Nothobranchius furzeri: one gene and its partners. The protein of the gene in region 1 purifies or fractionates together with the protein of each later gene. This does not show direct contact. Links are inferred from orthologs where the notes say so. Each region holds a gene or a part of one and is shown in the gene's direction. Other genes may lie near its edges. The genes, in order: histone-lysine N-methyltransferase SUV39H1, cbx3a, ehmt1b and setdb1b.

Region 1 (7,486 bases):
TTAATAACGAAACTGCTAAATTCTTTCCAATAGTATAGATGTGTAGTGTATTTTGTCCGAGTGGGTTTGACGTCATCGGCAGTCGAAGGACCCCGAGCCGATCCTGTACCGACACCGGTTAACAGCAATTCTTACAGCTCGTTTTTCTTTTACTCAGCTAAGTATAATTTCATATTTTACTTTGAATTCACAGTAAGTATACAGTTGTAGGGTTTCAAAACACCAAAGAGAAGCCTTACCTTTTACTCAGAGGTAAATGCTCCCACTTTTTTGGATTGGGGTTCTTCACCGGTTTCCAGCAGGAGTGAGCTGCCCACGAAGGAGCCTGTCTTTAAGTCGGCTCTACTAAAGAGGCTGATCGGTATCGGCCTACCGATAAAGCGGTTGACCCTTACTACATAGTACACTAGTGGCACCAAATTGCCCCACCTGATCAACACTCACCCTCTGCTAGGTACACATTATAATAGAATTTTTTAAACTTAAGCCGGGCGAACACTGTGCGACTTTTTCACTCGTAGTGCTCAGCTTCAGCTCAAACTGTATGACTTCCTCGCAGGGCAGATCTCACGAGTCATGCACTCACACTGTACGACCCAGTTCTCGGATGCGACATGACTGCTCACACTGTACGTCTGGTAGCAACACGTCGGACCCAAAAACATGCTAAAAATAGCAGTTTTTACACAACACGTCAGACTTTTTTGTCTTGTTTTGCCTGTTGTCCTTCTGGAGTGCTGCAGGAGGACACACAGGGATTTATGGGGGTTGGATGAGGAAAACGAAATAAAGAAAGTAAATCTGTGTTTTGTGATCAGTTTAATTTGACATGAACACGACAAACACGCTTTCTTGACAATCTTTGTGAGAAAAAACTCGCACTGTCGGAAAAGACGAGGACGCTGTTAAAAATGCTGATATGCCATGTTGTAAACAGTAATTTCTACTTCTACTATGGTGTAGTGTTGGATGCATGCTGTAGAGCTCCATGCTGCCCCCTATAGTTTGGGAGAATATTGGCTCACCGCAGAGACAAGCCGCATGAACCATAAACGCTGTGAGTTGTGAAGCGCGTTCCATCCGCGAGCCGCATCACCGCGCGGAAAGTGAACGCGTCAAGCATAAACCAAGCTTAACCTGTTGCTGGTCTCGTTTCATTTTATTGCACAGCTTTATTTCCGTTTATCCATGCTCAGCACTTTGTTAAACTCATTTTGTTAACTATCAAGTCTAAAATGCTCCAATGCAGTGGATTTTCCTAACCGCTTCATTTATAAGTACATTTTGTTATCATGTGATGAGCTAGCTCTTCCTCTGTGGTTTTGACAGTGGCACTCTTGCACCCTCTGGTGGCACAAAATATATCCATGACTGAAAGAAAAAAAACTATTTTACCTGGTTACAACATCAATGGCAAATAACTGGTTAACTATAAACATCCCTAACCTTTAACTTTGATTACATCACACATTTGCTGTGGCATTGTTTCAATAAGCTTCTGCAATGTCACAATATTTATTTCCATCCAGTGTTGTGTTAAGGGCCAGCAGTCCTCTCTTTCGTGTGTGTGCGTGAGTTAGCATATGCTTGGGATGGGATTGAGGGTGGGAGGAGGGGGATACAAAGGGGATCTCGTATGTGAATCTGGGAGAAGTGGAAAACCGACTGCTGTCTGTTTTTAATATTGTAAAGCGCTTTGAGCTGCATCTGTGTGAAAAGCGCTTCATGAATAAATTTGATTTGATTTAAAGTTTCACCAAGATTTTGCATTGATGACGGTAGAGTCTGACCACTGCACAACGCCTTCTCCAGCACGTACTAAATATTCTCAGTGGGGTTAAGGGCTGGACTCTGGTGGCCAGTCCATGTATGAAAATTATGTATCATGCTCCCCAAAACACTCTTTCACTATTTGAGCTTAATGAATCCTGTCATTGTCATCTATGAATTTGCCTGTACCAATTAGAAAAAAGTCTATTGATGGAATAACCTGCTCATTCATATTCAGGTATATTTAGTTAGGATTATTTTTAAAACGATTATTCTGACGATTATTTTATCGAATAGTCGACTATTCTAATGACTATTTAGACGATTAATCTAATGATTATTTTTCTATTGCACAATTAACAAAAACCAGAAAATCTCAAAGAAATTCCTCAAAAAAATTAATAAATTGTTACTGTAAGAGAATAAAAACTACAGGCCTTCCATTTTGTACAACACTTCTTTTATTGTGTTGCAGTTGGTTATGTTCTGGTGACGTGTAGAACTTGGGAGTGCAGGCTGCTGCCTGAGAGGTGGTAGAAGATGGAGTGTCTCCATGCTGCTTTGTTTTGGTCACTTATGAGCGTGAGGCGAGTGGTGTTACGACTCTTCCTGGAGAGTTTGGCTCGTGTGCAAAAGGAAGGGACAATAACGGGATTTAAAAGTTAAAATGATGATCAGGTTTATTTACAACTACAAAAAACATAAATCTTTCCATCCACAATTTGGGAATAATAAAACAAATTCTGCCCGTGGAGCATTAAAACAAAGTACAAATAAGTAGGGATGTCCCACTGGGCAAAGATTATTGGGTTCTGGACCAAAATAAGGATCTCCAAAGGTCCAAACTCTAAACTGGGCGGTTAAACCAAACTCACGGTGATATTTTACACTAAACTTAAAACGAACAACACTCTAAATGTAATAAAAGGGAGATCTGCACCACAAAAAAGATGAACTCTAAACCAAAACGTAACAGCTTATCCAAACGCAAGAAGCTGTTGGTGAAAATGCTAACAGTAGCTTTACCAACGTTAAGTTCAAGTTACCAAGTTTAAATAAACCAGAAACACCCAGCAGCAAACAGACCAGCACGGAGGAGAGACTGCTACCACCAAAACAGCTCTCCTCATGTCTGAAAGAAGCTCCTTAATGAAGGGAGAAACGCTCCCGGTGATTTTCTACATCTGCTTTAGAGACGGAGCAGCACATCTGACCCCGGAAGTTGTCCGTTGCCGGGAGACGAAGGCGGGCAAAACAGGAAAGGAATCTAGTAGCGGACGGACGTTGTTCCGGGTCTTCGGTATTTGGCGGAGATGTTAAAGGCAGAGACGAGGGCGAGCTAGAGGAAAAACTGGCAGATTCCTCCTCCATTTACAAACTCCTGGGGATGCAACAAGTGGGCGCGGTGCGTCGACTACCGGATCTGACGTCGACACATTTTTAGAATTGAGTCATAAATGTCATCGACGCTTCGCTACAGCTCTAATATTTAGGTAGTCCGCTTCTTTGAGCACATCCTGTTGCTGCACCTAGACCTGACCAACTGCAGCAACACCAAATCATAGCACTGCCCCCACAGGCTTGTACAGTAGGCATGATGGGTGCATCGCTTCATATGCCCTTCTTTTGATCCTCTGGAACAGGGTACATCTGGGCTCATCAGACTACACGACCTTCTTCCATTGCTCCAGAGTCCAATCTTTATGCTCCAAATCAATCTAAAGTTTTCTCCCCCAATTTGCTTCATTGATTAGTGGTTTTCTTACAGCTACACAGCTATTTAGTCCCAATCTCCTAAGTTCCCTTCATATTGTGCATGTGAAAATGCTCTTACTTTCACTATTAAACATAGCCCTGAGTTCTACTGTTGTATTTCTTTCAAATTATTTGACCTAGGCAACTGATTGCCAATCACATTCATTCAGTATTATTTTGGCCACATTTCTTCCTTGAAGACGATGAGTCCCCACTTTCAGTTTTTAATGTGTTGAACAGTCCTTAATGCAATTTTAGTTTTTTCTGCTATTTTCATTGATGTTTTCTCTGCTTGATGCATGCCAATGATTTGACCAGTGTAGTTTAACACTTGACTTCTTTTATCATCTTATCTTGTATGTCAGAGCTGCACAAGAATCTGAATTCTGTAAATTGAAATCTAATTGTTTTTACAAACTAAAGGTGTTGTCTTTTCAGGAGGAGCTCTATTTGGTGAAGTGGAAAGGCTTTCCTGAATCCGATAATAGCTGGGAACCCAAGAGGAACCTCAAATGTCCGGAACTGATGAAAGTGTTCCACCTGGACCTAGATCAGATGCTAAAACGGCAAAAGAGACGCGGCCTTCCCAAAAAGTTGGATAAGGAGGTTTCATTGTTCCTGGTTCAGAAAGCCAAACTACGCCAGAGACTGCAGAGATGGGAAGCCCATTTGAATCAGATTCGCAACCACCCAGGCCGTATTTTTGTCAAAAATGAAGTGGATTTAGAAGGTCCTCCTAAAACCTTTACTTACATTAACAACTACAAAGTTGGCCCAGGCATTGTGTTGGATGAGATGGCTGTGGGTTGTGAATGTAAGAATTGTTTCGAAGAGCCGGTGAATGGCTGCTGCCCTGGAGCCTCCTTGCATCGCATGGCCTACAATGACAAGGGTCAGGTCCGAATCCAGCCGGGAAAGCCCATATATGAATGTAATACCCAGTGCAACTGTGGGCAAGACTGTCCCAACAGAGTGGTGCAAAAGGGGATTCAGTTTGACTTATGCATCTTTAAGACGGACAACGGCCGTGGTTGGGGTGTCCGCACACTGCAGCACATCAAGAAGAACACATTTGTCATGGAGTACGTGGGAGAGGTAAGATCTAAACCAATCTTGTCAAAAATAAAATGTTAAAGTGCTGAACACTCATTTAATCAATTATTTTGCAGTAGTCTCTATAGTAGGAATAAATGCCTTGTAAGTAGGGTTGCAACAGTTGTAAACTTTGGTGGTACGGTTATAGTCCGAGAAATAATCGTGGTTTCACAATTACCACGACTATTTTACATGAATTGATTTCACATTTGTATTAACGTATATAAATCACAAACACATACCCTATAAAGTTTTAATAAATTGCATGATTACAGCCCATAAATCTATCTATTGCTCCTTTTCAGAGATTCTGCTTAGAAAAATTAATTTGTAAAATCAAAGTGATGTCTGTAATTTTTAAATTACAGTTTAAAAGTTAGAAAATTTGTTTAAAAGTGCTGAACACTTGTTTAATCAATACATTTGCAATGATCTTTAATAGGAATGAATAACTTATAGATAGTACTTTGAAAGAAAAAAACACACTAGTGCACCATTTTCAAGATTTTGAAGTGAGCCACATCCCAGCTAAGTTTCAGACAACACGATTTGGAGTCTTATTTCCTGATATTTGGACACCTCACATCGGACTGGATAATACGGATGTAAGAAACTATCGATGTGGCGTTATATCATGAATTTTTTTCTGCAATAATATATTGATATTCAAAAGCCGTATGTCAAATTTTTGGAAGAATTTACATGCAAACATTTCTGCAATTTCTTTTCTTTTGATGCAATTCATATGCCAACTGCTAATTGGCAGCAGTGTGCATTGGGCTTTGTTTGCATCATTAAAATGTAAATCCCTCTATTATGGTTCAGGTACTTCATGTTAAACATGTTAAGTATCAGTTAGGCCTGTATTGAATTTTCCTAAAATAAATTCAGTCTTAAAAAATCACTAACGTCTGACTGAATGTATAGCAATATATCATGATATAGTGTATTGTCTCCCCTGTATCGTGATACGTATCGTATCGCCATATTTTCACCAATATACATCCCTACTGGTTAACAGCAACACGACTACCACTGACTTGCACATTGATATTTTATCTCCACAAATAACACAAGCCTGGAAGAGTTCTGCTGTGTGGTGGAGTTGCTAATGCTAACGGTTAGCTTCTACTAGCAGAGATGTTCTCTGCGGTTTCCTGGCCACTAAACTAACAGCCTTCCCCGTCATGAATCGAGATGGATGAGTCCATGAATGTTAAGTGACAGTGTGACGTAGATCTGTAAGGATTTTCTAATCCCAGAGATTCACCATCTATTTTCTATCAGAAGCTAATGCAGGAGATAAGTGTAGGAGACCGTTTTCATGTTCAGCCTGCATGAAATGAATGACAGATTATATTCAGAAATCATCTTTAAAAATAGTTTTCCACACCTTTAATTATATTTGCATAATTGCCGCTTAGAGTTTCTATAAAAAGACAAAAAGGTTTACCTGTTGACAACTGGTCAGGGTTAACAATGAAGTATGGAAACACCTTCATAAAATAAGATGCTAAATTCCATCTAGTGCAGTTGTTATGTCTTGGTAAAGAAAAGCTGCTCACTAACACATGTAGACAGATTTCAGAACAGTATTTGAGAGTCGTGGGTATTTTGTGTATGAAGACAAATTTTCAGATGTTTGAGCTCAGCTCGTGAAAAATTGGGAACAAAAACAAAAGTGTTGCGTTTATATTTTTGTTCACTGTATGCAAGAGATAGGTAGGGGCACGATCCATATTTTTTCACCTTCTATCCAATTCCGATACCTGAATTTAGATATCTGCTGATACCAATTTTATTCTGATACAACAGTTCTATTTTCTTAAATATAATTATTATTTTAATCATTATGGTTGATTTTATGAGGCTATAATAAACTCTTCTCTACAATCATTCCAATTCTCGCGCTGCTCTGGGTGGCTGCATGTTGGAGTAGCTGTGTTAACTACTAGGGGTGTTTCAAACAGGGTACTTTTCGATTCGATTTTGATTATGGGAGCTTCGATTCTTCGATTATAATGATTTTTGGTTTGATTCGATTACTGGTGCCACGATTCTTCAATTATTGACATTTTTATTGCTTTTTTCATAAAAGATTGTCTTCTTCTTTATCTACATTTGTAAATAAATAACCTATCAATTAATTCAGTTCCTCTAAAACCACTCTCTGTAAATAAATACATTTTTTTAACATTTAACTATTTTTCAAAGACAAATTCTTATTTTATGACTTTGTGACGTGTAAATATTTGCACTTTGACCAACTTAACTTCAATCAGGGAAAGCTTTACTTACACTAGTGTCCTCTCCATTGTTGGGAAACACTGAAAACAGGCAAGCCCTGGATTTAATGAGGTAATTAATTCAAGTAAACAAGATTTTTACTTCCATCAAATTTATTTAATGGAAACTTAATGAGTCTGGCACATGATAACATTACAAAAAAGCTGCCATACAGATTAAATAGATAAATTCACCTTATTCAGTCTGGAATATAGGAAACAGAAAAAAACTGCTATATTTGAAGGTAAAATGTTGCATTTTTTCAGAACAAAAGTGCATAATTCAACTGAACATATATTCAGCCTGGAGCTTCAGTACAGTGAGGCGAACACAACAAAATAGAGCAGAGTGAGCAGAGTGACACATACTCATTTGTCCTCCCATACTCCCTCCCCTCCCTCTTGTCCCCCTACATCCTGTTGTGTGAGATGGGCAAATGTCAACATTGTGCTACTTTGACTCTCACTCATCTCTTGAGTTTGAAGAAGGTGACACACTAACTTCCACCTGTTCTTGTCCGACAAGAGAACAAAATGCGCCGTTACAGTAACGAAGGATTTGGTGGCAGCCGATGTCCGTC
Region 2 (7,953 bases), on another chromosome or scaffold:
GAGAAGAACCTTGCTACGGCGGGAATCCTCAGACTCCTCGCTCTCAGATGCATCACCCGGCATGGCTGTGGGCCTCGCGGCGCTCCCGTTTGCCTCTGTGTGTAATCTAACTGGAACTATGATGTCCCAGAGTTCGCTGGGCAGCTGTCTTGATGAGGCCGTGTTTGATCAGATCAATCAGCTTGGCTTAGAAAGCCTGGAAGCCATCGACAATCAGCTGATGGACACTCTGAGCTGCATGGACTCTCGTGGCCTCGAGGACTTGGACTCAGACTCTGGGCTGTCCCTAGAAAGCAGCTATGGAGGTCCAGTGTCTCCAGGTTAGCTCAGACCACCGCATCATATTCCTGTTGTCAGAATGTTTGTGATGAACGCTGTCGTTTACGTCTCGTTCCTTCAGGCTCATCTGAGATGTCTTCATCAAGCAGCTCGTACTGCGAGGACGAAGGTGGAGCTACAGGCTACAGCAGTGAGGTGCATCCGTTACCCCCAAAGGGTGTAATGAACCACGCCACCATGCGGTCGCCTGTGGATCTGAGTGAGAACGTGTGGCACGATCACAGCTACTCGTCTCCTGCTTTCCTCAACAAGGCGTCTTTAAAACTGCCCCACAAAACAGAGCCTTTTGGCGACGACGAAGAGCGGGATCTGAGTCGTGATGAGCTGCGAGCCCGTGCCCTGTGCATCCCGTTCTCTGTCCTGCAGATTGTCAACATGCCTGTGGAGGAGTTCATGGAGGTTCTGGACAGCCACGGACTCTCCCCTGAGCAGGTGACTCTGCTGAGGGACATCCGCCGGCGGGGGAAGAACAAACTGGCAGCTCAGAACTGCCGCAAAAGGAAATTAGATGCCATCACCGGTCTTCAGGAGGAGGTGGACATGTTGCAGGCTCGGAGGGAACGACTGCTGAGAGAGAAACAGCTTACAGCTAAGACCATGGGGGCTGTGGGCCAACAGATAAAGCAGTTGACCAGAGATGTTCTGGCTCGGCTCAGGGATGGGTCAGGACAGCCCCTGAGCCCAGACAGATTTACCCTGCAGTGTGGCGCTAACGGGAGGTTTGTGGTTCAGCCCATCAGACGTCCAGCCGTCTCCACATCAGCAGGCAACAAAACAAACAAGAGGAAAAAAGGGAAGAAGCAGTGATGTTTCGTTTCCTGCTGAGACTTGAGCTTTTAGAGGCTTTTTTTGATATTCCCGAACTTGACTGACTCTGGGTTTGGGGTTCTTTTTTTGTAGGTGGTGTGTGTGTGTGTGTGTGTGTGTGTGCGTGCGTGCGTGCGTGCGTGCGTGTGTGTGCGTGCGTGCGTGTGTGTGTGTGCGTGCGTGCGTGCGTGTGTGTGTGCGTGCGTGTTTATTCACCACTGCCATAAGCCTTCACTATCAGAAGCTGCAAAAACAAAACAACACTCTGAACACAAATGAATAATTCGATAGAATATCTGTAAATATTGAGACATTAGTAGTGGGCACACTGGACTTTGTGTTTATTAAAGCTGGCAGCAGAACCAGCCCCTCTCTGGGCCGGGCCTGATAACGTAAAACTATCACCTTTACTGGGTATGGGTCCGAGGGGTTTTGTGTGTAAATTTGCCTTTTTAAGTCTTTTGAGGAGAACTAGGAAGTTGAAGATTATATTTATTCTGGTTTGAAAGGTTTTTGAAGTGTTTTCATTTTGACGAAGACTGTTTCCTTCTCTTTTTTTTTCAAAATGGAAAAGTAAAATTTAAGTAAATCTAATGTTTACAGGGGCGTTTAAGGTAACTGTGTGTAATGTTATTTATTTAGGCTAAAACTGGAAAAAATAATAAAGATTTGTCTTTCTCATAGTTGCCAGGGGTGACATGCCAAATACCAATGATTACAATGAAGAGGCTTTATTTTGTAACGTTGTATTTGGTTCGAAAATAATCCACACACGAATGCTTTAAGACACTATTGATGCAGATTTTAATAACAAATAGATGGTTTTGACTTAAATCCTTCATAGTTCGAGTTTCAGCATGCTATGCTCAGAAATCAGTTTTTGATGATGTTCAGCTAAAAATGAACCAAAGCGGTGGTCCCAGCTTTGTTGAATGTTGTTTTATATGCAGCGTGCTTCTGTAAGGTTTGCTGAGTTAAATAGAACAATTCTAAAACGGTCTCACGCAACTTCTTTTGTTTGATTTCCAGTTTACAGGGATGACTTTCTGTGATTTTTGGCTCCAGTTTCATCTAAAATGGATTTTCTTTCTCAGTGAGATTGTGTGAGGTATTCTAATCAGTTTTTTTCTTGTTTATAATTGTTTTATAATCTCTTTACTCCTAAAATACACCCAAAATGATACATAAGGTTGTATCTATGTTACAAAGACCCATTCTGGAAAACATAATTTCTCACTTTTCCCATAAAGATGCTTCTAAATGGCACAAAAAGGCAAACTTTACTCATCTGCTGACCCTTTTGTGCTTTACTTAAGTCAGCTGATCTGACATGAATCCCCTCACATCTACTAAAGCACAACCTCACCTAAAAATAACTTTAGAACAGAAGAAATCCCCTGTCATGCAAAATATGTTATCCACTCGCTACACAAACAAGAATGATTGTTGTCTGTTTATATGTTTGGGATTATTAGAGAATGCAATATGACAGGCTGAGTGTTTGATTACACTAGGGCAGGGGTGTCCAATCCTGGTCCTCGAGGGCCGTTATCCAGCACGTTTTTCGTTTTAACCTGCTTCAGCACACCTGATTTCAATCAGCAGGTGATTAACAGGCTTCTGCAGAGCCTGATGAGCTGCTGCACAGGTGATTCAACCAGCTAATCAAGCATTTTGAAGCAGAAAAACCACAAAACCTGCTGGTTACTGGCTCTCCAGGACCAGGATTGGACTCCCCTGCACTAGGGAGTGTATAAACTTAATTGTGATCCAAAGATCATGTTTTCTCTTTGTCCTGGTTTAAACGTTTATTTGTGTGCATTTCACTTTCATACATCTTGTTTTTTCATGCATGAGTCACATTTGTCTGTCTGTTTGCGGTGATTATTGAAAAGATAAATCTGATTGAAGAATACTTGATTTCTTTATTAAAAACATTTAAATAATGTCTTGTTTTGTCTGGCTAACAGGTTATATATACCATTACTGTTATGGTGCTGCGTGCTGGTGAGCATATCAACATTATTTTCCTCACCTGAGCTGAACACCTGTGTTGACCGGCATCATTTCAGGACAGAAGGCAGACAGATTTATTAAAATATGGCTGTAAAGCATATTTAACAAATACTCGTTCAAAATCACAAGCCAGTCATTTACGGTATTCAGTAGAAAGTAAAAGAAATTGTTTCACTCAGTCTGAGAACAATCTAAACAACTTGAGACATCAGGTGCTCAATTTAATCTGAATTCAGCATTAGCATTATGACTTTGGGGTCAATTTGTTAAATTTTTCATTTTTGAACAATCTGAAAAAGAAAATGATTGCTAGTGTTTATGCTTTATTCCTTCCACTACTTTATAGTTTAAAACATATATAAACGTTTTCATTTACTACCAACGTGTCTCAGATTGCGTTAACTAGCGGCTTGAAGCCTTGGTTCATGAAAAGGGCCCTTCTGGAACACATGGGTCAGCTCGGCTGCAGACGAATCGCTTTTCCTTCTGGGCTTCCGTAGCCACAACTAGTTTTTGGCGCCGCCTTCGTTGTGGGATCGACTTCATCCGAGCGGCGTGGTGCTGAACAACTATAGAAATCCGCGCGCTTTGGGTGAGTGTGCGGAGTTCTTCTCTTTTAAAACAATGTTGAGTATTTCTTTAATTACATCAGGCTACTCTGAGCGTGTTAAAACGCCACCTATACGTTGCTGGTTTTTTGACAAACAGCAGTTTAGTTGTTGACCCAGCAGCGTTAGCATCGCCATTGTTTAGCTATTACTGTAATATGTTAAGCTAGCTGAAAGTAAGGCAAGTAAGGTGTTGTTTTGTGGGGATGTGTTGTAGTTTTACCACAGTTTTTATTTTATCTTTTACAATTCTACTAATTCTGTTGCTCAAATAAAATCCGCAGATGAGACTGTTTAAAATCAAGGAAATTTTAGGTAAGGGGTCAGCGTGTTAGCAACCTTTGTTACGTTTAGCTGCTAAATGCTGAGCTAACTAGCAGGTGGGCCAAATTAGAGTAATGTCCTATGTTAGCGTTGGCTGAGTTATTTGTAGCCTAGCATCCGGGTGGATTTAAGGCCTTCCGAATAAATGCGGCTCGTCTTTTTATCTTTAAAAAGCAAAATGGGCAAGAAACAGAATACAAAGCCTAAGAAGGAGACCGAGACCCAGGAGGAGCCTGAAGAATTTGTTGTGGAGAAAGTGTTGGACCAGCGGATCGTCAACGGGAAAGTAGAGTTCTACCTGAAGTGGAAAGGCTTCACAGAGTGAGTTACCCGGGACAATGTCCTGCTCTCTCCGCCTCTAACGCACCGTGGCTGCATGAAGCCTCCCAGCTTTTCCCTTTTAACACGTTTGGGATGTTTTTGGTTTGAACGCTAACCTGTTTTTTTTTTTTTTTTTTTTGCTCCCTCAGAGCGGACAACACCTGGGAACCCGAGGATAACCTGGACTGCCCCGAGCTCATTCAGGCCTTTCTGGATTCCCAGAAGAATATAAAGGAGAAGCCGGCTGCAGTGAAGAGGAAGGCCTCCACAGATGATGCAGAAGAGGAACCCAAGAAGAAAGATGTGGTTAGATTATACGTTTTTTATGTCTCTGACCTGCTAGCATGATTCCCTGTAGGTTGTGCAATCAGAATATGGTTTATAACCTGTTTTTGTTTTTATTTGACAGCCTGATAAGCCTCGCGGCTTTGCCAGGAACCTGGAGCCAGAGCGAATCATTGGTGCCACAGACAGCAGCGGGGAGCTGATGTTCTTGATGAAGTGGTGAGTTAGGCAGACTTTACACCCAATTTCAACAAGAGTAGTTTCACATTTACCTCGGTTGCTTTGCATGGCCATTAGTGTTTTTTTAGGGAGTCGAACTAAAAGCGGAAAAGGTTTATTACAAACATGTAGAGTATTTAGAAATAAAATCACTTGAATATATATAATTTATTTCTTTGATTTTTAAATAGGCTTTTCTAAGATCTGCTGTTTTATTTTAGTTTTTATTTATTTTTTTGTCCCCCAGGAAAGAGTCAGATGAAGCAGACTTGGTCCCTGCTCGTGAGGCCAACACGCGCTGCCCTCAGGTGGTCATATCCTTCTATGAGGAGCGGCTGACGTGGCATTCCTGTCCAGAGGATGAGGCTCAGTAGCCTTTGCCTGGATTCTGCACACCTTTATGTTTTAGGTTTTTATTGTGTTCTCTGTTCTGCTTTTTTTTTTCTTCTTTAGCTACTTTAGCTGATTTGAGACAAAATCATTTGTATGGCAGTTGGGGTATTGTAGATTAAAAGTTTGTCAAAGCAGGTGACTGGGTTGGATATAAGATTAGTCAAAAAGCGATAATGTCAGTCCACATTCCAATTTGTTTATTTTTTTTACTTGAGTCTATGTCAACCTTTTTGAGTTCAGTTAAATGTTTTGTTCCTTGATGCAAGTGCCGACGTGTTTGAAATGAACGCTTTGTTTACAGTTTGTAAATATAAAGTTCAAATAAAGGTTTTATGTGGCCTAGTTTTACCCTCTTCATTTGTAGTTTAGGACAAATGCATACAGAAAAAAGAAAACCTAAATGTTGCTTTATTAAAAGTGTCACAGCCAGCTGAGTGGTTCTGTCAGGGTATCAATCCTTGGCCTACATCAGAATGTTATTTTGGCAGCAGCATTCTGATCTCCTTAGAGGAACAGTGGTGAGATATTTATCCAAGGAGGACCATGAATGTCCACACCTGTCTGGAGCTCTATCAGCTGCTCATTCTGTTCTGCACTTGGTGTAAATGAGGCTTCAGTCTGCTGGTTCTCAGTAATGGATAATGGTTGGTTTCTTCTATAACCACTTGTAAAGACACATTATGGAGTTTATTTTAAAAGTAACTGGTCACATGTTAACAGCTATTTGCCTGTCGGAGATGTTAAACTTCCAAAAAAGCCTGGAACAGCTGGCAGGAAGTGTTGATGAATGGAAACATTTAAAGGAGACTAAAATCAGTCCAACCATAGTTTTACCTGTCATTTGATCATTGCATCTCACCTAATGATGCTCACACTAAAAAGGTAGAGATCGAAGACTTGGCTTTATCACCTGTAGTAGACTCATGGATGGTGACGTAACCTAAAACTTCATATTTATGTCCAACCGTGTGGTGATTGGTAATTCAAATCTGAATTCAGGTGTCTATATTGGTGGTTTTTATTGAACGAATGGGGGATAAAGTTGCATTGACGTTTCTGACTAAACAACATCCAGTTTCACCCCTCTGGCCTTTACCTACTGATAAAGTAACACAAGATAGGAGACGTCAGCGTAAAGGAGCAGTTATTAGCTGATTTACTTAAAATCTCATCACACCACTTGTGTTCAGATGGGCTCCTGGGCTGGACAGAAATAAACTTTGCTTAGGTAAGATGACTTTCACTTGTTTGTATCTGGGGTCCAGGCTGCAGCATGTTGTTTACAGGAATTTATCATTAATGGCTGACGTCTTGTACAAGCTGAGATCAGAAAATTAAAGTTTCTTTGATTTGACTAACAACAAAAACTTCTGTGTTAAAATGATCAATATTTTCTGTGCTGACGCTGGATGTAAAGATCCCCTTTTAACTAGTGTTCTCTATAAGATTCCACATAAACCCTCATGCTTGGCTCAGGATAAGATAAGAACAACTTTATTTATCCCGAGGGAAATTCTTGTGTCATGTACATGCTCAAAGCAGTCGGAGACAAAGGAACAGGTGAAACAGAAATATGATATACAATATATACATTAAAAAAATGATCTACAGTAGTACCATGTAGGATAGTGCAAAACAAACAATCGCATATCTCAATTAAATACATGACTGCATCCTTGTGAATAAGCAATTAAGCCGTTGGTGCAGGCGATTCACAAAAGTGATTATTGTGATCCTCCCATAAAACAACTTTATTAATTACCATTTTAAATTCTAATGAGGTTGTGTGTGTGTGTGTGTGTGTATATATATATATATACATACATATATCATCATTGTCGTCTTCCTCCGCTCATCCGGGTCGCGGGGACAGCATCCCAACTAGGGAGTTCCAGACTGTCCTCTCCCCAGCCACCTCCACCAGCTCCTCCGGCAGGACCCCAAGGCGTTCCCGGACCAGATTGGAGATGTAACCTCTCCAACGTGTCCTGGGTCAACCCGGGGGCCTCCTGCCGGCAGGACATGCCCGAAACACCTCCCCAGGGAGGCGTCCAGGAGGCATCCTGACCAGATGCCCAAACCACCTCAACTGACTCCTTTCGATCCGGAGGAGCAGCGGTTCTACTCCGAGTCCCTCCCAAATGTCCGAGCTCCTCACCCTATCTCTAAGGCTGAGCCCGGCCACCCTACAGAGGAAACTCATTTCGGCCGCTTGTATCCGCGATCTCGTTCTTTCGGTCATTACCCAAAGCTCATGACCATAGATGAGGACTGGGACGTAGATCAACCGGTAAATCGAGAGACTGGCTTTCTGGCTCAGCTCCCTCTTCACCATGACAAACCGGCTCAGCGTCCGCATCACTGCAGACGCCGAACCAATCCGCCTGTTGATCTCCAAATCCCTCCTACCCTCACTCGTGAATAAGACCCCGAGATTCTTAAACTCCTCCACTTGAGGTAGAACCTCTCCCGACCCGGAGTTGGCAAGCCACCCTTTCCCGGTCGAGAACCAGGTCTCAGATTTGGAGGTGCTGATCCTCATCCCAGCCGCTTCACACTCAGCCGCGAACCTACCCAGCAAGAGCTGAAGGTCAGAGCTGGATGAAGCTAGGAGGACCACATCATCCGCAAAAAGCAGAGA
Region 3 (8,264 bases), on another chromosome or scaffold:
TTCAGACTAGGAAGGTTCTGATTGGATCAGCAACAGCAATGTGTCATGTGATTGTTTTCCTTACGTGTGTCAGTGTGTCTAGTGAACTAGATTAAGTCATTTTACTTATTAAAACATATTAATCATAATATTGTGATTTCACAGATCGGTCACATTGTATTATTGACTAACAGTTGTTTTGATTAGCTTTATTGAAAATAGAGTTCTTTGATTTAATAAAAGAAAAGAGTCTCTTCATCTTCTGTCTTCATTGCTGGAAAGTAAACAGTTTAGAAGCAATATGCATGACCTTGAGGCTGTTTCATGCACTCTGGCGCTGTGTCAAAGGGAACAGTAGATAGAGGATAAATAACCTTGGAGGAATAGCTCCTTCATCACGTTACATACCCCCCTTTTCAAGGGCACGGTGGTCCATTCAGAGACCACCTGGTCATTGAACAAACCAGAGTCATGAAGGACTCCGACAACAGAGCAGGGTGCAATCCCACAGGAAGAGGCCAACAGCGGTGAGGTACGAACCCCACACCGAAGAACAGTCTCGCATACTCCTCGGGAAGCACACAAGTCAGTAGATTATCAGAAATTTCCGTGGAAGCAATAATTTGAAGCAGCAGCAAACTTTATATCTCCACGGGTCTGGAATACTTCCAAACAGCATATTGATCTTTGTAATTGCACTTATCGTAATCCAGCACAGGAAAGAGCAGCAGGCAGGTCGTCCCAGCGAGCGAAGTATCCCCGCAGTCATGCCGGAACAAACGGATGTCCAGGTCCCACGAGCCGGAGCACCAATCAGGAGGAGTAGATTCGGATGACGAGTCACGGGTCCACCCCCAGGAAGCAGGATCATCGACAAACTCAGCAGAGGAGAGAGAGCACAGCACAGGGCACTTCAATGTAGACACAACAAAATGGCGTCTCATGCAAATTAACAAACAAAAATAAACCTAGCACTATGAGTACCTGCAAGTAATATGTGTAGGAATTATGTGAATGAACCTAAGCAACGAAATGGGTGCAAACTCTCTACATGTAATGCAAAAAGTGGTGCGAAAAAGAATAAAATTAATAGAACCCTATACTGCGTATGGGAGAACACACTGCACTACGTAAAGATATAATCAAACTGAAGGGCTAAAATGGCCCCTGATGGTAATTTTCTCTTCCAGCTGACTCTTGTCATCTAACAGTTTTGAAATCTCTGTCCGAGCTGCTGTCAGCTGGTCTTGGGTTTCGGTCAGTTGTTGCCGAGCATAATTTATTCCTTATTCACTTTCCCTTTCTTCACATTTTTTTCTAATCACAATTTTTTAAACTTCTCCCAGTTTTATGATATTTAAAAATCATTTTTCAATCTTGTTATTCTTAATATTTTTATTTTGTTCTTGTGAAGCCCCTGTGATTTTTATCTTGAGAGGTGTTATGTAAAAGATTGTTTCATCTTCTTCTTCTTCAACATACGCCCAAACACCAGGCACCATACACCTCATCACTGGTGGTGGTGGTGAGCTACGTTGTAGCCACAGCTGTCCTGGGGCACACTGCTAGGCTGCCGTCCACAGGCGCCACCTGCGCCTCCGACCACCACCAGCCGGCAAGGCGGGTATGTACCTTGCCTAAGGACACAACGACTGCTCGCTGTAGAAAATGCATTTTTTAAAACAATGTGCTCCTCTCACACATACGTTCTATTGCACTTGTTCTTCATCTAATGATCAACATTTATTATATATAATTTTAGTCATTTTGAGCAAAATTAAATCATACATCGAACTCACAAAGGTGCAGAGAAAAAAATTAAAGCAACAAACATACTAAAGTAAAAAAAATAGTAAAAATATAAAAATAAACAAAAATTGCATTGATATGTAAGACTTTTAATTTGTCTCAAAGTAACTCCGTAAACTGAGTCAGTTCAAAATGGGAATGTAGCACAGCTTATTTTACCTATCCTGAACTTAATGTACACATTTACAATCCTTGAGCACCACACCCCATGAGCACAACTTCAGTATACAACACACAACAGTTTTACATCATAAGAGTATAATAACATTAAAGCAACATCACGTGCACATGTCACTCTTCTTCTTGCCTGAATGTGGATGATCAGCATTAGATAAGCATAAAAAAGGACAACCATCATAATTAAAAAGGAAGGGCTTACTGATATTTGATTTTTAACAATTTTTTAACCTGCAAATTCTTACATTCATGTAAACAAAAATGTATAGAAAAATGGTTATTTGGAATAGGGTATAATCAACACAAATCAACAGGTAATTCACTACATGAAGACATTTTAGAAAACCTGTTCAGCTTTTTAAGCAGAGTAGTGAGTAGTGAGAATCGACCCAACTCAATTTATTATTTTTGAGGAATAACGTGTCAATAAATACATGAAATTTTATTTGAAGGACAGAAATTCAATGACTATTTAGACCTTTTTCCCGTGGATTTTTACACCCGATTTTTACCCCGGCCACTAAAAAGAAAAGAAAAAAGAAAAAGAAAAGAATGAGAACTCTTACTAAAAATTTCACTTTAAAAATTGTGACCTTTTTCCTAAGGATTTTTAAAGTTAGAATTCTGAGAAAAAAAGACAGAATCCTCTTTCTCTTTTTTTCTTTTCACTGGCCCTAATCTTTTTCCGTATTTACAGAAATAGTTGGGTTAGCTATCTTAAAAGGTTGTCACCACAACCATGATCAATAAAGATGCTCATTTATAACAAATAAAATCTCTAAGGTGTGGTGTTCCAGATTGCGGATCAATAAAAGTGACGCAACCGGGAGTGGGCGGAGCCAACGTCCAGGCACCATGGCTTCGGTGGAGACCGAGGTGAGTATGAGAGCTTTATCTTCGCCAAGCTTCTTCCCGTCTCACACGCTTTTCGGCGCTTCGGTACATTCGTTAGGCTCGCGCAGCCACGGGGCCGGTCTGTAAGCGGGTAAATTGTCGGTGTCGAGGTGCTTTTCAGGCGCCGAGTGGCCGCTGCCAGCGCCGAGACTTGTGCTTTTGTGCTGTACCGGAGGACAACTGAATGTGCAGGAAGATGCTGCGCCCCGGAACCTGAATGTTCGGTGCTTGTGCGTTGGTTGCTTCTCTGTGGGACTCTTTCATTCATGGTACATCTTTATGTCATTCTCCTAGCTGTGTCCAGCTTTAGCTGCTCGAAACGTGTTGCAGAAATTAAAGGTTGCATTCCCTCCCAGCATTATTCTGAGTTTTCAGCTGACCCGGTTGTTAGCGGCTAACTGGAGGCAAAATGTGAACGTTGTTCAGCTAGGTAGCGGCTATGCTAGCAGTAGTTAGCAGAATGCATACGTTTTAAACACACACACGGTGGAGGGATTTTCTTTTTATCCAGTTGAATTCTAGCAAATCGAGTTATTGTTAAATTTGTGTTACAGTGGGTCAAACGCGCGTTTGCGGTGTTATCTTGTGTGTGCTGCTCTGCAGTCTGCCTGCTAACCGACTAATGAAGGCGCCAGTTCTGAAACCGGTTGTTATTCTCTACTTCTTTACGTTAAACTTCTCTTCAGTCGTCCTCGCCACACGCTCGCGTGTTTGGGCTAAATGCGGTTATTGTCCTATTATTATTTTTGTCCAGAGTTAGCAACTCTAGTGTAGGCTGGTTCAGGTTCTGGATTAGATGGAAAAGGAAAGATCTGTCATCAAATATCGTTTAACTGACCCTATTTCTACACGAGGGCACACTGATGCTCCGTAGTTGACTACATTTTTATATTATTTTTAACCACAAAATTAAATAATGTAGGTGAAGATGTGAAGTGTTCAGCAGAGGTCGCTCCAGCAGCGTTAGAAGTGACTCACGGAGCTTTGCAGCTCCAGCATCTTTCATTTTGGGTCAACGTGTTGTCATTTAAACACGTTTCATCCCTGAATGGAAACAGTGACACACCAGACATTAGTACAGTATCATCTCTGTGTGCAGATAATGTTTTACTACAATGGAGGGCCACTTGAAAGGTGTAGTGAGTTTTCGATGGCCCTTCTTGTCCCCAAGAATTGGACTCAACATGGCAAAAATGAAACTGGAGAATATTAGTCACAAATCAAGCAGGAATCTCTGGGCAGGCATGTTCAAACTGCATCCCTCTGAGTGGTTTTGTGTGGCTCCGTGTTGCATTTCTATAAAAGGGGAAATTTTAGCTATCCAGCAGGCTGTTGATGTAGATCAACATGTTGTTTTTTGGGGTCAGAATTTCACTAATATGCAGCTTGCATGCATAAAATGCATATTTCTGGCCAGTGGGAGATAACTGGAGTACCTGGAGAAAATCCATTCATGCCTGGGCCCTCATTTTGCTTCAGTTGCCATGTTTATGACAAACGTGTCGTTGTGGTGTGTGACTTACGCCGCTCAGCGCTGATTGGCTCGGTTAGAATTGGCACGGGTTGGGGTTATTTGAATAGGAGAGTTCCCAGACCCTTTCTCTATGCAGAATTGAACAGAGGAGGAGTCTGGCAGGCCAGGCTAGATGATGGGGCTGTCACGTGTATTACGTTAAGTCACATTTTTACGTGACTCAAGGTGGTAGAGCTTCTTAAAGGGACATGAATGTTGCCAACCTACACATCTTTTCATTTTTATTATCAAATTTATTGACATGGGAAAAATTCTCGATAAAAGTCAGACATTTTGATAAAGATGAATTTTCGATTTATTGCACAGCCCTATATCAGAGCTATCCCACGTCAAGAATGGTCTTGTTAAATCTAAACAGGGGTCCAGTAAAATACTCGCAAAATATTAAGACCACAAGTCTTATGCCAACAATCCAACATGAATGTTGCCAACCTACACACATCTTTTCATTTATTATCAAATTTTTTGACATGGGAAAAATTATCTCTATAAAGTCAGACATTTTGATAACGATATATTTTCGATTTTATTGCCCAGCTCAAATTAATTAATTTATTTATTTCTGATAGGAACCTCTTCTCTGTCCTGACCGCATTTATAACCTCTGCAACTTATTTGGTTCTTCTGCGCTTTGGCAACCAGTGTCTTGATCTTGCTGCCAATAAAGTTTTTCTTATTTTTCTGGGAATAAAACAAATTCCCTCACGTGCTGAGGCTGTAGAGTGACCAAATATGGTTAATTGAGGGCGTTTCTGTATGTAAATTACTGTGAACAAGAGGTGGGATTTATCATCAGCCGGTTGCGAAGGAACATTCGTACGAGAGGCCACCGCCTAGTCAGGTTTGTACACACATTCTAAATGTTTTTCTTAGGAAAAGTTAAAGGACAGTTCTACATACGTTTGATAAATGAGGGCCCTGGGGAGTACATGCCAATGCCATTCAGAAAGTCTGCAGCCAGTTTTTGAACCTGCAACTGTGCTACCAACTGCGCCACCATTCACCCATATTTAAGTGTTTTACGTGGATGCCACCTCCCCTTATACCCATTAGACCTATCCTGCTCTCTCAAACATGTCTTACAGGGCAGCTGATGCTGCCAACACTGAGCGATTAGCCGTATTTAGTTCAACTTTGTGCTCTCAATTATTAAGGTTTCCAGCTGCAGCAAAAAGTCCGAGCCATAAGTCGGAGTCCTACATGCATTTTTAACTAACGTAGCAAAATTAAATTCCTAAATCAGTTTGTGAGGAGGAATGTAGAAACACTAGCTTTCTTCAGATCTGACCATTATTGATGCACAGACTACAGAAGCTGGTCACGGCTATTCGCTCAGGGGTTTAATCTAAAATAATAATCTACATATTGCAACTATCAATTCATCTGGAACCACCACTGGTCCTTCTGGATTCCTGCACGGCCGACAGTGTTAGTGCCAGTAATTAAAAAATAGGACATTTGAGAAAGCTACGACACTCAGAAGTCGGATCGAAAAGATGATCCACATATTCCCACAGTAGATCCTCCTGAGACCGGTAGAACGTCCGTGCCTTTCTGGATTATTGCCAAAATTAACGGGAGGATCTAACAAGCGGGATGTAGCATCAGCCAGTCAGGAGAAGTTATTTTGGTAAGCTATCGATTAATTATTTCCAGCGTTGGATCAGTATTTACACAGCGGTAAAACTGGCAGCTCATTGATTTATTTTTCTGTAGATTATTGAATTATATTGGCACAGCCTGAAGAGGCTAGCATAGTTAGCTGCTATGTTAACCCATCAGCCAGCTCAGAGATAAAACGCACACACAATAAAACTAACGGTACCAACTTTGGTTATGAAGACTTGTCATCCTTCAAAACTGAAAAAAAAAAACATATTTACATTAACAAAGACAGACCAAACAATTCAGATTAATTAAGAAAGGGAGGAATAAAAAAGGGCACACAACATTACTAGTTACAAGACTGGCATGAGGCAGTTGAGAGTTGTCAAAGGTCCAGGTCAGGTAGGTCATCAACACGAGCTCTTAAAGGGTCCCATGTTTCGTGGAACTTGTCGATGGAGCCATTGAAGGTACATCTGATTTTTTTTCCGGTTTAACGTTTTGCATAACGTCTCTGATCCAGTGGTGTTGTGACAGAGGGATAGAATCCTTCCATTTTTTTTATACTTTTAAAATAATTTTTAAAATTTTTATTTTGTTCTTGTGAAGCGCCTTCTGATTTTTATTATGAGAGGCGTCCTATAAAAGAATAGTTTATTTTTTATTATTGTTGTGTAACGTGAACAAACTGCAACCCAGTTAACAGTTGGATCAAAAACAGTAAAAGTCTAAAAACAACGTGTCACATGGAACCCTTGTGCCGTGTTTCCGCTACCTGAGTAGGAAAGATTGTGACTGGTGGAGTGCTGCGTGTAGTGTGTCAAGCCCACAAACCGTCTAAATATCTCCTGTGCAAATACATCAGCCATGGTCATTTTTTGGACTGCCAAATATTAAAGATTTATCATATTACCCTAAATACAATACATAACAAAATATATTAGGGCCGTTTGATTATGGCAGAAGTGGTGATCATCATTATTTTGATTGAAATTGAGGTCTGAATTATTCAAGGCAGCTTTATTTGTATAGCACATTTCATACATGGAGGCAATTCAATGTGCTTTCCAGGAGCTAGAACAGCAAAATCAATGTAACAGCATAATAAAAAACACAGATTTAGGTCAAATTTAATTTGCAAATTATATTCAGATTTAAGAATCAGATAAAAGGCGAAGTTAATAGGTGAGCAGTTACAGTGCAGAAGGTTCAACATAAGAAATGTTCATTCGAAGGCTGATGAATACATGAAAGTTTTCTATTTTAATTTAAAAGTTAGTATAATTGGGAACATTTGAGGTCATGAGGAAGCTGATTCCATCTGTGTGCAGCTTGGTAGCTAAAAGCAACTTCACCCAGTTTGGTTCTGGCCCGAGGTTCTACCAGCTGACGGTTTCTTAAGGACCTCAGAGCCCTGCTGGGTGTATATGTTGTAAGGAGATCCAGCATGTATTTTGGCCCCCATGCCATTGGGTGATTTATAAACTAGTAGAAGCACTTTGACACAATCTTTAACCCTTTGATGCATAATGGTCACTACAGTGGACAGGTACTCAAAATTGTTATGTATTTGTTTTTGCTATTAAGCACAGCTGTTGAAGACTTTATTGCATTTGAGCCCCTCCATTTGAACTTCAGTAAGCCAAGCCAACATATTTCATGTTCTGAATGCACGCTGTCCACTGAGGTGGACACGTAATAAATTATTTGTAAATTATAAAATTTTACAAAAAATATTTGTTGAAATTTGTTTCATTCACACCTAAAAATGAATGAAAAAAATTGTTAAAAAAATCATGGTTGAAGATTTCATAATTCATGCATCAAAGGGTTAATTAGAATTTTACACATTTTTTGAACATTAACAGTGGCTTTTAAACTTTGTTTTTAGAATTCCTGAGATAAAAAAAAATAGAGACAGTTCTCCCGTGGGAGTCGAATAAAATTCAGCTTCGTCTTGGAAACAAAGGAGCTAATATCAATAAATAAAAAAAGACAGATATACAATAAACTCCCATAATCTATCGCATGCAGCGGGGAGTGTGTACAGTAGTACCCTGCAACGTTTAGCTCATAGATCAGCTATTTTTATTAATCTGTGTGAGGACTAGGAAGTGTGGTGTGAGCGAGTGAAGACGGTCAAAGGACACATTTGACCCATCCCTGTGGGGAACGTTGGTGATGGCACATTAGCAAACTCTAATAACGAACAGATAATAGATATTTTAGTGTATCTGACATGTAACATACAAAAAGATCTTTGGTC
Region 4 (8,276 bases), on another chromosome or scaffold:
CCTCACTTTTTTTACAGCAGCGGCCCAAAACGATCTAACACATGGTTTTTCTGCTTCCTGATCACGTGACGTATGCGGATGAAGATCGGCTTCAGAGCTGAGATGTTTGTTCTCTCGGGGCGGGGCTCGATCCAACGCCCACTCAGTAAAAACATGCAAATGACGACTTTAGTCGTCATTGGCAGTGCACGGTTGGATCTAAAATCACGACTTTAGTCGTCAATGGCAGTGAATGAGTTGAGGGTTAAAAACGTAATAATGTCAAGAATTGTAGCTAAAATCAAATAAATCACTTCTGGGACAAGGAATCGAACCACGGTCAGGACATGGTAAAGCAGTAAAAGGTAAGATGCTTTCTTCATTAGACCTACAAACACAATGACTGCCTGAGACACTGTCTTGTGGTCATGACGTGCATCTTGTTGGCCATTACACGTGTCCTTGTGGACTGAACCAAGGAAGAACCTCTGACTATACTTCCTGAAACTCCAGGAAGTGACAAAAACCTGCCGATTTCCCCTCATCCACTGGGGTTGGGTACGAAACAGAGCAAACTCTCATTGTTAGAAATGCTAAATTCACAATAGAAATAAACATGTTTACAGCTTGGCACAAAAACAATTTTAGGTTTAGTAGGTGAAGTTATCAGTCAAATCAGTCTCTTTCTAGTCTCTGGACAGAACGCATGTTTTGTATGGGTGAAGTTTTGTCACCTTTGGCCTTCCATATATATACGCACCGCTAAAGCCTCCAGTGTGGATGTGAGACATGCACAGCGCTCACGTCACAAAGTGCTCATCCGTTTGAGCTACACATCGCGTCGCTACTGTACACAGAAGCTACAGCGCCACAGGTTGAGTTTTAAATTGACCTTATATGAGCGACAGGCGGGAACTGCGGCCCTCATGTGCTAAAAGCTTAAACTAAACTGGTTCTGTTACCATTTAGAGGACGTTTTACCGTCCTTATCCTCTCTTTCTGCAGTCTCAGTGAAGCTGGAAAAAAAATCTAAATATTTTTTGTCCTCTCGTGAATAATAATGAAGGACTGGGTTATCGTGCTTCCACCTTGTTGACCAAAACAATCCAGGAAATGTTTGCGTCTTGGTAAGCCGTACTGGAGGACAAAACAAATTAGGATTTTTTTTTCCAGTTTAGAGATGAAGAGGGTAACATATCCTCCAAATGGTTTGACAATTCTGGCTTTTGTCCACAGGAGGGCGTATATTCCCCCTTCTCGCTCATGTGTAACACAGCAACAGCCTGATCTCTATGTACTATGGTGCGGTATGGGGGCCAAAATCCGTGTCGAGTCTACGCATTTCAGGATTCTTCTGAGTTTGGAAAACTCCAAATCTCGCGAGAATCCATCTTGCAGCGAAAATCAGCTCATAATTTTGGACATTTGGAGTTGTGATGTGAGAGCCTGCGAAGCATAGGCCTTTCTAGACTGCTTTTGGGGATGCTGAAGCACTCCTAAAATTAAATCCCAGCACGGCAGCACCCCTAAAGTTTGAGATTTATTTTTGCACTTTTACTGTTTGGTCCTTTTCAATAGAAACTCCGCTAACTACTTCCAAACGTGTATTGTTGCCTCTAAAAAACTGGGAATTTGCGTCTTCCTTTGGCTAAATATAGAACAACACTGTTTTCATACATAATGAAGGGAATATGGTGAGTTGCTGCCCTCCAGTGTCTGAAAGCTGTTACTGCACTTGTATTCTTTTTAGCCTTTTAGAAGATAATGTTTTGGCCTCCTTATCTTAACGGGGCATTTAAAAAATCTTAATCTTTTTTCTCTCCTCTTGGGAATATTAATATTAAAGGGGGGGGGGGGGGTAGACGGAGTAGAAGGAACTGAATTTATAAAGTCAAAAAAGTTCCTTAGAAATATTTACTTCAACGATTCCAAAAACCGTGTTCTGTTGCCTTGAAAGAACTGGGAATTGGCGACCTCTCCTGGCAAAAAATAGAACACTTTTGTCCAACAGCATTTAGAATAGAAGGAAAGATGGGGAGGGGCTGCACAGGGTGAGTGCGCGTGTGTGTGCAAGATTGCTTGTCCTGTGTGTCTCTGTGTTGCCCTCGGTTGCCCTGCGATGGACTGGCTCTCTGTCCAGGGTGCACCCCCCGATTGCCCATTGACCGCTGGAGACAGCACCCCCCCCCCCCCCACACACACACACACACACACGCGCGCGCGGACAAGCGGGTTCAGAAAATGGATGTACGTGAAGATGGGGAGTTGCTGCCCTCCAGTGTATGAAAGCTGTAACTGCGCTTGTGTTCTTTGCCTTTTAGAAGAGAATATTTTAGCCTCCTTGGTTTGATGGAGCCTTAAAAAAACTTAATCCTTTTTTTTGTTCTCTTGGAAATTGTAGTATTGAAGAAGAGACCGAGGAGTAGAAGGAGAATAAGGAACTGGATTTCTAAAGTTGAAAGAGTTCCTTAATTGAAACACTTCCTCTGAAGTTCTTTTTGGTTCCTTGCAAGAACGGGAACTTTGCGCCCTCTGCTGGCAAATAAACATAGCTCCCTTGTTTTAAATTAAATAAATGGAACCTTAAAAAGGCCAGATAATATAAAATTAAGATATTTAGGTACTAAATTTTACCAGAACAAATGTGTGGTTTGTAATAAAACATGCCAGATATAAAACTATTAGTTATTAGTTCAAATAAATACCCAACTACAGCTAATTAACTCACACAGACGTAGATAGACACTGATTTATAAAAAAGGTCCATATTTTGTTTCAAACAGAATGAAAACTACTGTATTAGGATTTCACAATTAATGCATAAAATATTCAAAGAAAATAAAAAGAAATGCAATTAGTTACAGAACAAAAGAGTAAATGTTTGACCACAATAGCTGATTTAATTTGATAAACTTGTTTATTCGGTAAAATGAAAAAGTAAATCAAACAATTTGCAATATGTTATACTTGTATAACTTTTAAACTGCCCCACGTAAAACTATTCACATTCCTAAACATTAAAAAAAATCTGAAAACCAAACGAACTCGTCATTGTTTGGCTCGGTTCAATTATTAAGTCACAATAACATCCTGCGTGGGCGGGACTTTTTTTCCAATGCTGCGATCTACTACACCGCCCTTTTCGGACACCCCGGGAATCGAAACATCTTTTGTAGCTTACCCTTTAGCATTAGCGGAATAAGCTAGTTTTACATCTGCGTCCGAGATGATGGAGATCAGCGAGCGGTGGGTGGCTTTCCCGTTAATTAGAACATGTTTCATAGGTTACGAATGTTTTTGATGCAATTCTCTATTGTGCAATGAACATATTTGTTTCAGCAGCCTGCACCTCTCATTCAAATCAGAATTGTTCTTTTCCCATGCTAAGCTAACCGGTTAGCATGCGTCTCAACAAGGGTTTGTTGTTGCTGCACAAATCTAACGTGTAAAACGAAGACATTAGGGCTTTACATCACTCTCCGACAACAAATGAGCAACATTTTTATTATTTACTCAAGTTCAGCTCATAAGTTCATCTTTTTTGCAACAACTAAGTGGGAAAGTTGTGTTTACTCCTGATGTCCCTAGTGATCTACTATCTTATACATGTGTATTATTCAGATAAACTGGTATGCATCTGGAATTTCTTTTATGGATTCACTGCATCTTTAAAAAATCAGATTAACTTGAGTGTATTTTATCCTGTTTTTACCATAAAGGATGATGACCCGTATGCTAGACACGTCTATAACAGTAATGCGTTGTTATTTAGGGAGTGTGACTATTAGGTATTATTAATGTCTTTCACACAGAGTGAGGTTTAAAACTTGATCAAAATCACAAAAATGCTAATATATATATATATATATATATATATATATATATATATATATATATATATATAAAGAATATAACTCTTTTCGTTAAACTTAATTAATCACTACCAAGCTGTAAATAAATGTTATCATGCTTCATTCTGGCCATCTGTGGGAGTTTAAGCTGATGGTTGTAAAGCAGACGGTTGAGTTTGTTTTTAAAAATGTAGCGCTGTTTAAATGTGTTTCTCTGCATTCCCTCCTCAGAATGGAGGTGGACGGCTGGGACTCGAGTCTGGAGGACGATTTGGGTGTTTCCTTGGATGATCTGAAGAAGCTGGTTGAAGAAGCTGTGGAACAGAGTGAGATGGTGCAGAAGAAAAAAGCTCAGTTGAAAGAACTGAAGCAGTGGGTGGAACAGAAAGAGGAAGAGGAGGCAAAGACGGAGATGCTTCTCAAAGACACAAACCAGTGAGGTGGAATGGTTGTCTGTTTTATTAGTGCTTATCTATAACGAGCTCATCTTCTTGTCTCCTTTTTTTAGATCTTTAAAGAGGTGTGAGAAACTGGTAAAGGAGGCTTATCAGCTGAACGGTCTTGTCTACCGAGAGAGCAGCTCTGAGGATGAAGGGGGTGGAGATGGACTGTGCTCTGAAGTCATTGAGATAGATGATGATGACGATGACGATGTCATTGCAGTTGGATGTTGTAAGTTGTGCTGTTTTGTAAAAAGATATGAAAACACTGAGACTGTTGTTCATCTCTTTTTCTTCTGTTCTGCACCATCAGTGGTTCCTCCAACGAAATCTCCAGGCAAAGACTCAGTGGTGAGAGCAACAAAAACAGTGTTTCTGAAAATATATTCATATCTAATTACTATGTAATTACTACAGTGTTGTTTTTGTTAATGAGCATCAGGGACAAAAAGTGCTGTTGACACATAACAGGCAGCTTTAAAGGTGTGGAGAACTGAGAAATATTGTTTAACTCATTCGCTGCCAGCGTTTCTCACCGTTTTTACTGTTTTTTTTTAAGAGTGACAGAACGTTGCATGCTAGGATGATGTCGACGCCGAAACAACCAAAACAAAATGGAGACTCACCTTTTACATCAGGAAGAATCCGCGCGTTTCGAGCGTTATCCGTTCTTTCATAATCCGTTGTTGAAGTGTGATCGGCAGAAGCTTTTCCGGTTCGCGCCTCACTTTTTTTTACAGCAACGGCCCAAAACGATCTCCTAACACATGACGTTCTGCTTCCTGATCACGTGACCTGTGACGTACGCGGATGAAGATCGGCTGTTTGTTCTCACCGTGCGGGGGCTCGTCCGACACCCACACAGTAACAAAATGCAAATGACGACTTTAGTCCTCAATGGCAGTGAATGAGTTAATGATTATAATGGGTCATAGAAGAGCACGCTGGCATCGTCCAGAGGACATCAGGTGCTCCGACAGCCCATGGGACATCAAATGTAAAGGATAAAGTATACTTTATCCTCTAGGTTATAATGGGTCACTCAGAGTTCTTCATGCCGTCCGAACATGAAAACAGTCTCCTACACTTATCTCCTGCTTTAGTCTCTGATAGAAAATAGAAAATCCTGACAGATCTACGTCACACTGTCACTGAACATTCATGGACTCACCCATCTTGGCTCACAACGGGGAAGGCTGTTGTTGGTTTAGCGTCCAGGTAACAGCAGAGAACGTCTCGGCTAGTAGAAGCTAACTGTTAGCGTTAGATACTCCACCACACAGCAGGACTCCTCCAGGCTTGTGTTATTTGTGGAGATAAAACATCAACTATGCAGGGCAGAGTCAGCGGTAGAGCTGTGTTGCTGTTATCCAATCAGAGGAGAGATGTCTGAATATCAGGAAATAAGACTTCCAATCCTGTCGTCTGAAGCAACTCCAGATGACTCGTACTTCCTGGAACAGGTGCATCAGAGCTTTTTTTTCTCCAGAGTACAACTTAAAGGCATTAATTTCTACTAGAGACCACTGCAAATGTATTGATTCAACAAGTGAACCACAATCCTCGGTGAAAAATATTAAATGGGAAATCATTTCTTTAAATTCAGCCAAAACATAGTTATTTTTTTAGGTTACATAAAGAAAAAAAGGCCTGTATTTGATGTAAAACTCGTAATTCTCCTCAACAACCTCTTCTGTCGCCTGTTTTTATCACCAGTTAAAAGAAGCTTCTGCAGTTCTCCAGAAAACCTCCCAGCAGGTGCAGAAGTTGACCCAAATGGTGGGCAAACCTTCACCAGGAGCTCCTCAGTCACGTGAGCAAATATAAGAGTCTGTTTATTAATCGGACTCGTGTGAAGCGTTATTGATGCTCTTTGGTGGGAATTTCAGTCATCCAGGTTTCAGCACCGACAATATTTGTATCGCAAGCTTCGTCTCAAGGGACGACCCCGCCGAGCTCGAGCTTGAAAAAATTTGATCTCCGGATCGGGATGAACATCCTGGGAAAGAAACGCACCAAGACATGGCACAAAGGAACCCTCGTGGCTATCAACCCTATTGGTTCGTCGTCGTCTTCGTGTGTTTTACAAATGCTTTTTTTAAAGATGACGCTAAGGAATCAGTGTTTTTTCTTTTAAATCACACATTTTCTCCTTTAACGTTCAGGAAACGGTGTTTATAAATACAAAGTGAGGTTTGATAAAGGCAAGAGTTTGCTGTCCGGGAATCACGTGGCTTTTGACGACAACCCGGCTATGGAGGACCTGTTTGTCGGGGCTCGTGTCGTCGCCAGGTACAAAGACGGAAGCCTGACGTGGCTCTACGCGGGAATCGTGGCAGAGATGCCCAACAACAAAAACCGCATGAGGTAAGTCAATGAAAGCCTGCAGGTTTGGCAGCTTTCTGAAGGCCTGAGCTCATTAATGACCCGCTTTGCCGTTTCAGGTATTTGATTTTCTTCGACGACGGCTATGCTTCATATGTGATACTGCCTGAAGTCTACCCAGTGTGCAAACCGCGTAGGAGCCCATTTTTCTCCTTTCTTTCTTTTTTCATGGTTTCCAAAGGTGCAGCAACGTGTAGAGAAAATATTAATCAAGATAACTGATATTGTTTTATAGTGAAGCGTACTTGGGAAGACATAGAGGACGCGTCGTGTCGAGACTTCATCGAGGAGTACATTTCTGCCTACCCCAGCAGGCCGATGGTGCTCCTAAAGGTCGGCCAGATCATCAAGACCGAGTGGGAGGGGACTTGGTGGAAGAGCAAAGTGGAGGAAGTGGACGGCAGCTTGGTCAAAATTCTCTTTTTGGTACGTGAACAACAAATTTAAACCGGCTACATAAAATAATACAAAATGTTTGTTTAAAAGTCATTTTTTTTAGGTCAAAATTTTAATTACTATTGTAGTTTCACTCTAAAACATTCAAACCTGTGGAATAAAGCGCTGCACGTTTACCTGAGATACTACTGAGTACATACAGTCGGTATGGAAAGTATTCAATTCAATTCAAAGGTACTCCTGTTAATATTTGACTCTTTGTTATAATGCAGCCGTTTGCTGAAATAAAATAAATTAATTGTTTCCTCATTAATGTACACACAGCACCCCATATTGGCAGATTTATTAAAAAAGACAAGCTGAAATATCACATGGTCCTACGTATTCAGACCCTTTGCTGTGACACTCGTATATTTAACTGCTTCCATTTCTTCTGATCATCCTTGAGATGGTCCTACACCTTCATTGGAGTCCAGCTGTGTTTGATTCTACTGATTGGACCTGATTAGGAACTCCACACACCTGTCTCTAAAAGACCTCACAGCTCACAATGCGTGTCAGAGCCAATGAGAATCGTGAAGTCAGAGGAACTGCCTGAAGAGCTCAGAGACAGAATTGTGGCAAGGCACAGATCTGCCCATGGTTCCAAAAACATCTCTGCTGCACTTAAAGGCTCTAAGAGCACAGTGACCTCCTTAATCCTTAAACGAAGACTTTTGGGATGACCAGAACCCTCCCTAGAGCAGGCCGTCCAGCCAAACCGAGCTACTGGGGGAGAAGAGGTGACGCAGAACCTAAAGATCACTGTGGCTGAGATCCAGAGATGCAGACAGGAGATGGAGAAGGTTGTAGAAAGTCTACCATCACTGCAGCCCTCCACCAGTCAAGGCTTTATGGCAGAGTGGCTCGTCAGGAGCCTCTCCGCTGCGCAAGACACGTTTGCTGAAAGACATCCAAAGGACCTCGGGAATCAGAATCAGAAAAGCTTTATTGCCAGTGCTCCAGCGACCCGAAGCATAGGAATTTGACTCTGCAGCACAGCCTGACCAAGGTTACACACACACACATGTAGACAAAACAGATACAGGCAGACCACGAGAGCAGCCAGGAACGGCACTCATTTCATTTAGATGAAAAGGGGATTACATGAGGATAAATTGGGGGAGGGAAAAAAGGCATTCCAGAGTTACTCCCGACAGGGCGTGGCTTTGCTATGCAAAAAAAC

Evidence for each region.
Region 2: the proteins of histone-lysine N-methyltransferase SUV39H1 (region 1) and cbx3a purify together in Homo sapiens (affinity purification with mass spectrometry; 3 studies listed by BioGRID and IntAct, with this or other methods). This does not show direct contact. The link is inferred for Nothobranchius furzeri from reciprocal best matches to the Homo sapiens genes SUV39H1 and CBX3.
Region 3: the proteins of histone-lysine N-methyltransferase SUV39H1 (region 1) and ehmt1b purify together in Homo sapiens (co-immunoprecipitation; 3 studies listed by BioGRID and IntAct, with this or other methods). This does not show direct contact. The link is inferred for Nothobranchius furzeri from reciprocal best matches to the Homo sapiens genes SUV39H1 and EHMT1.
Region 4: the proteins of histone-lysine N-methyltransferase SUV39H1 (region 1) and setdb1b purify together in Homo sapiens (affinity purification with mass spectrometry; 3 studies listed by BioGRID and IntAct, counting the BioPlex papers as one, with this or other methods). This does not show direct contact. The link is inferred for Nothobranchius furzeri from reciprocal best matches to the Homo sapiens genes SUV39H1 and SETDB1.

Annotation. Positions count from the first base shown.
Region 1 is NC_091755.1:42,379,179-42,386,664, forward strand, and holds part of histone-lysine N-methyltransferase SUV39H1, read left to right. Parts: intron 1-3,963; coding exon 3,964-4,620; intron 4,621-7,486. UniProt on the Homo sapiens protein: Histone methyltransferase that specifically trimethylates 'Lys-9' of histone H3 using monomethylated H3 'Lys-9' as substrate. Also weakly methylates histone H1 (in vitro).
Region 2 is NC_091751.1:29,399,461-29,407,413, forward strand, and holds cbx3a (chromobox protein homolog 3a), read left to right. Parts: upstream 1-3,605; 5' UTR 3,606-3,754; intron 3,755-3,767; exon of another isoform or gene 3,768-4,085; intron 4,086-4,268; 5' UTR 4,269-4,272; coding exon 4,273-4,415; intron 4,416-4,564; coding exon 4,565-4,721; intron 4,722-4,824; coding exon 4,825-4,919; intron 4,920-5,166; coding exon 5,167-5,293; 3' UTR 5,294-5,654; downstream 5,655-7,953. Other genes in the region: nfe2l3 (nuclear factor erythroid 2-related factor 3), read left to right, coding at 1-320, 401-1,146.
Region 3 is NC_091746.1:74,040,355-74,048,618, forward strand, and holds the start of ehmt1b (histone-lysine N-methyltransferase EHMT1), read left to right. Parts: upstream 1-2,738; 5' UTR 2,739-2,820; coding exon 2,821-2,841; intron 2,842-2,847; exon of another isoform or gene 2,848-3,125; coding exon of another isoform or gene 3,126-3,128; intron 3,129-8,264. UniProt on the Homo sapiens protein: Histone methyltransferase that specifically mono- and dimethylates 'Lys-9' of histone H3 (H3K9me1 and H3K9me2, respectively) in euchromatin.
Region 4 is NC_091745.1:76,217,698-76,225,973, forward strand, and holds the start of setdb1b (histone-lysine N-methyltransferase SETDB1-B), read left to right. Parts: upstream 1-3,104; 5' UTR 3,105-3,205; coding exon 3,206-3,225; intron 3,226-4,061; coding exon 4,062-4,265; intron 4,266-4,338; coding exon 4,339-4,502; intron 4,503-4,583; coding exon 4,584-4,621; intron 4,622-5,986; coding exon 5,987-6,083; intron 6,084-6,159; coding exon 6,160-6,330; intron 6,331-6,435; coding exon 6,436-6,637; intron 6,638-6,714; coding exon 6,715-6,788; intron 6,789-6,890; coding exon 6,891-7,081; intron 7,082-8,276. UniProt on the Homo sapiens protein: Histone methyltransferase that specifically trimethylates 'Lys-9' of histone H3. H3 'Lys-9' trimethylation represents a specific tag for epigenetic transcriptional repression by recruiting HP1 (CBX1, CBX3 and/or CBX5) proteins to methylated histones.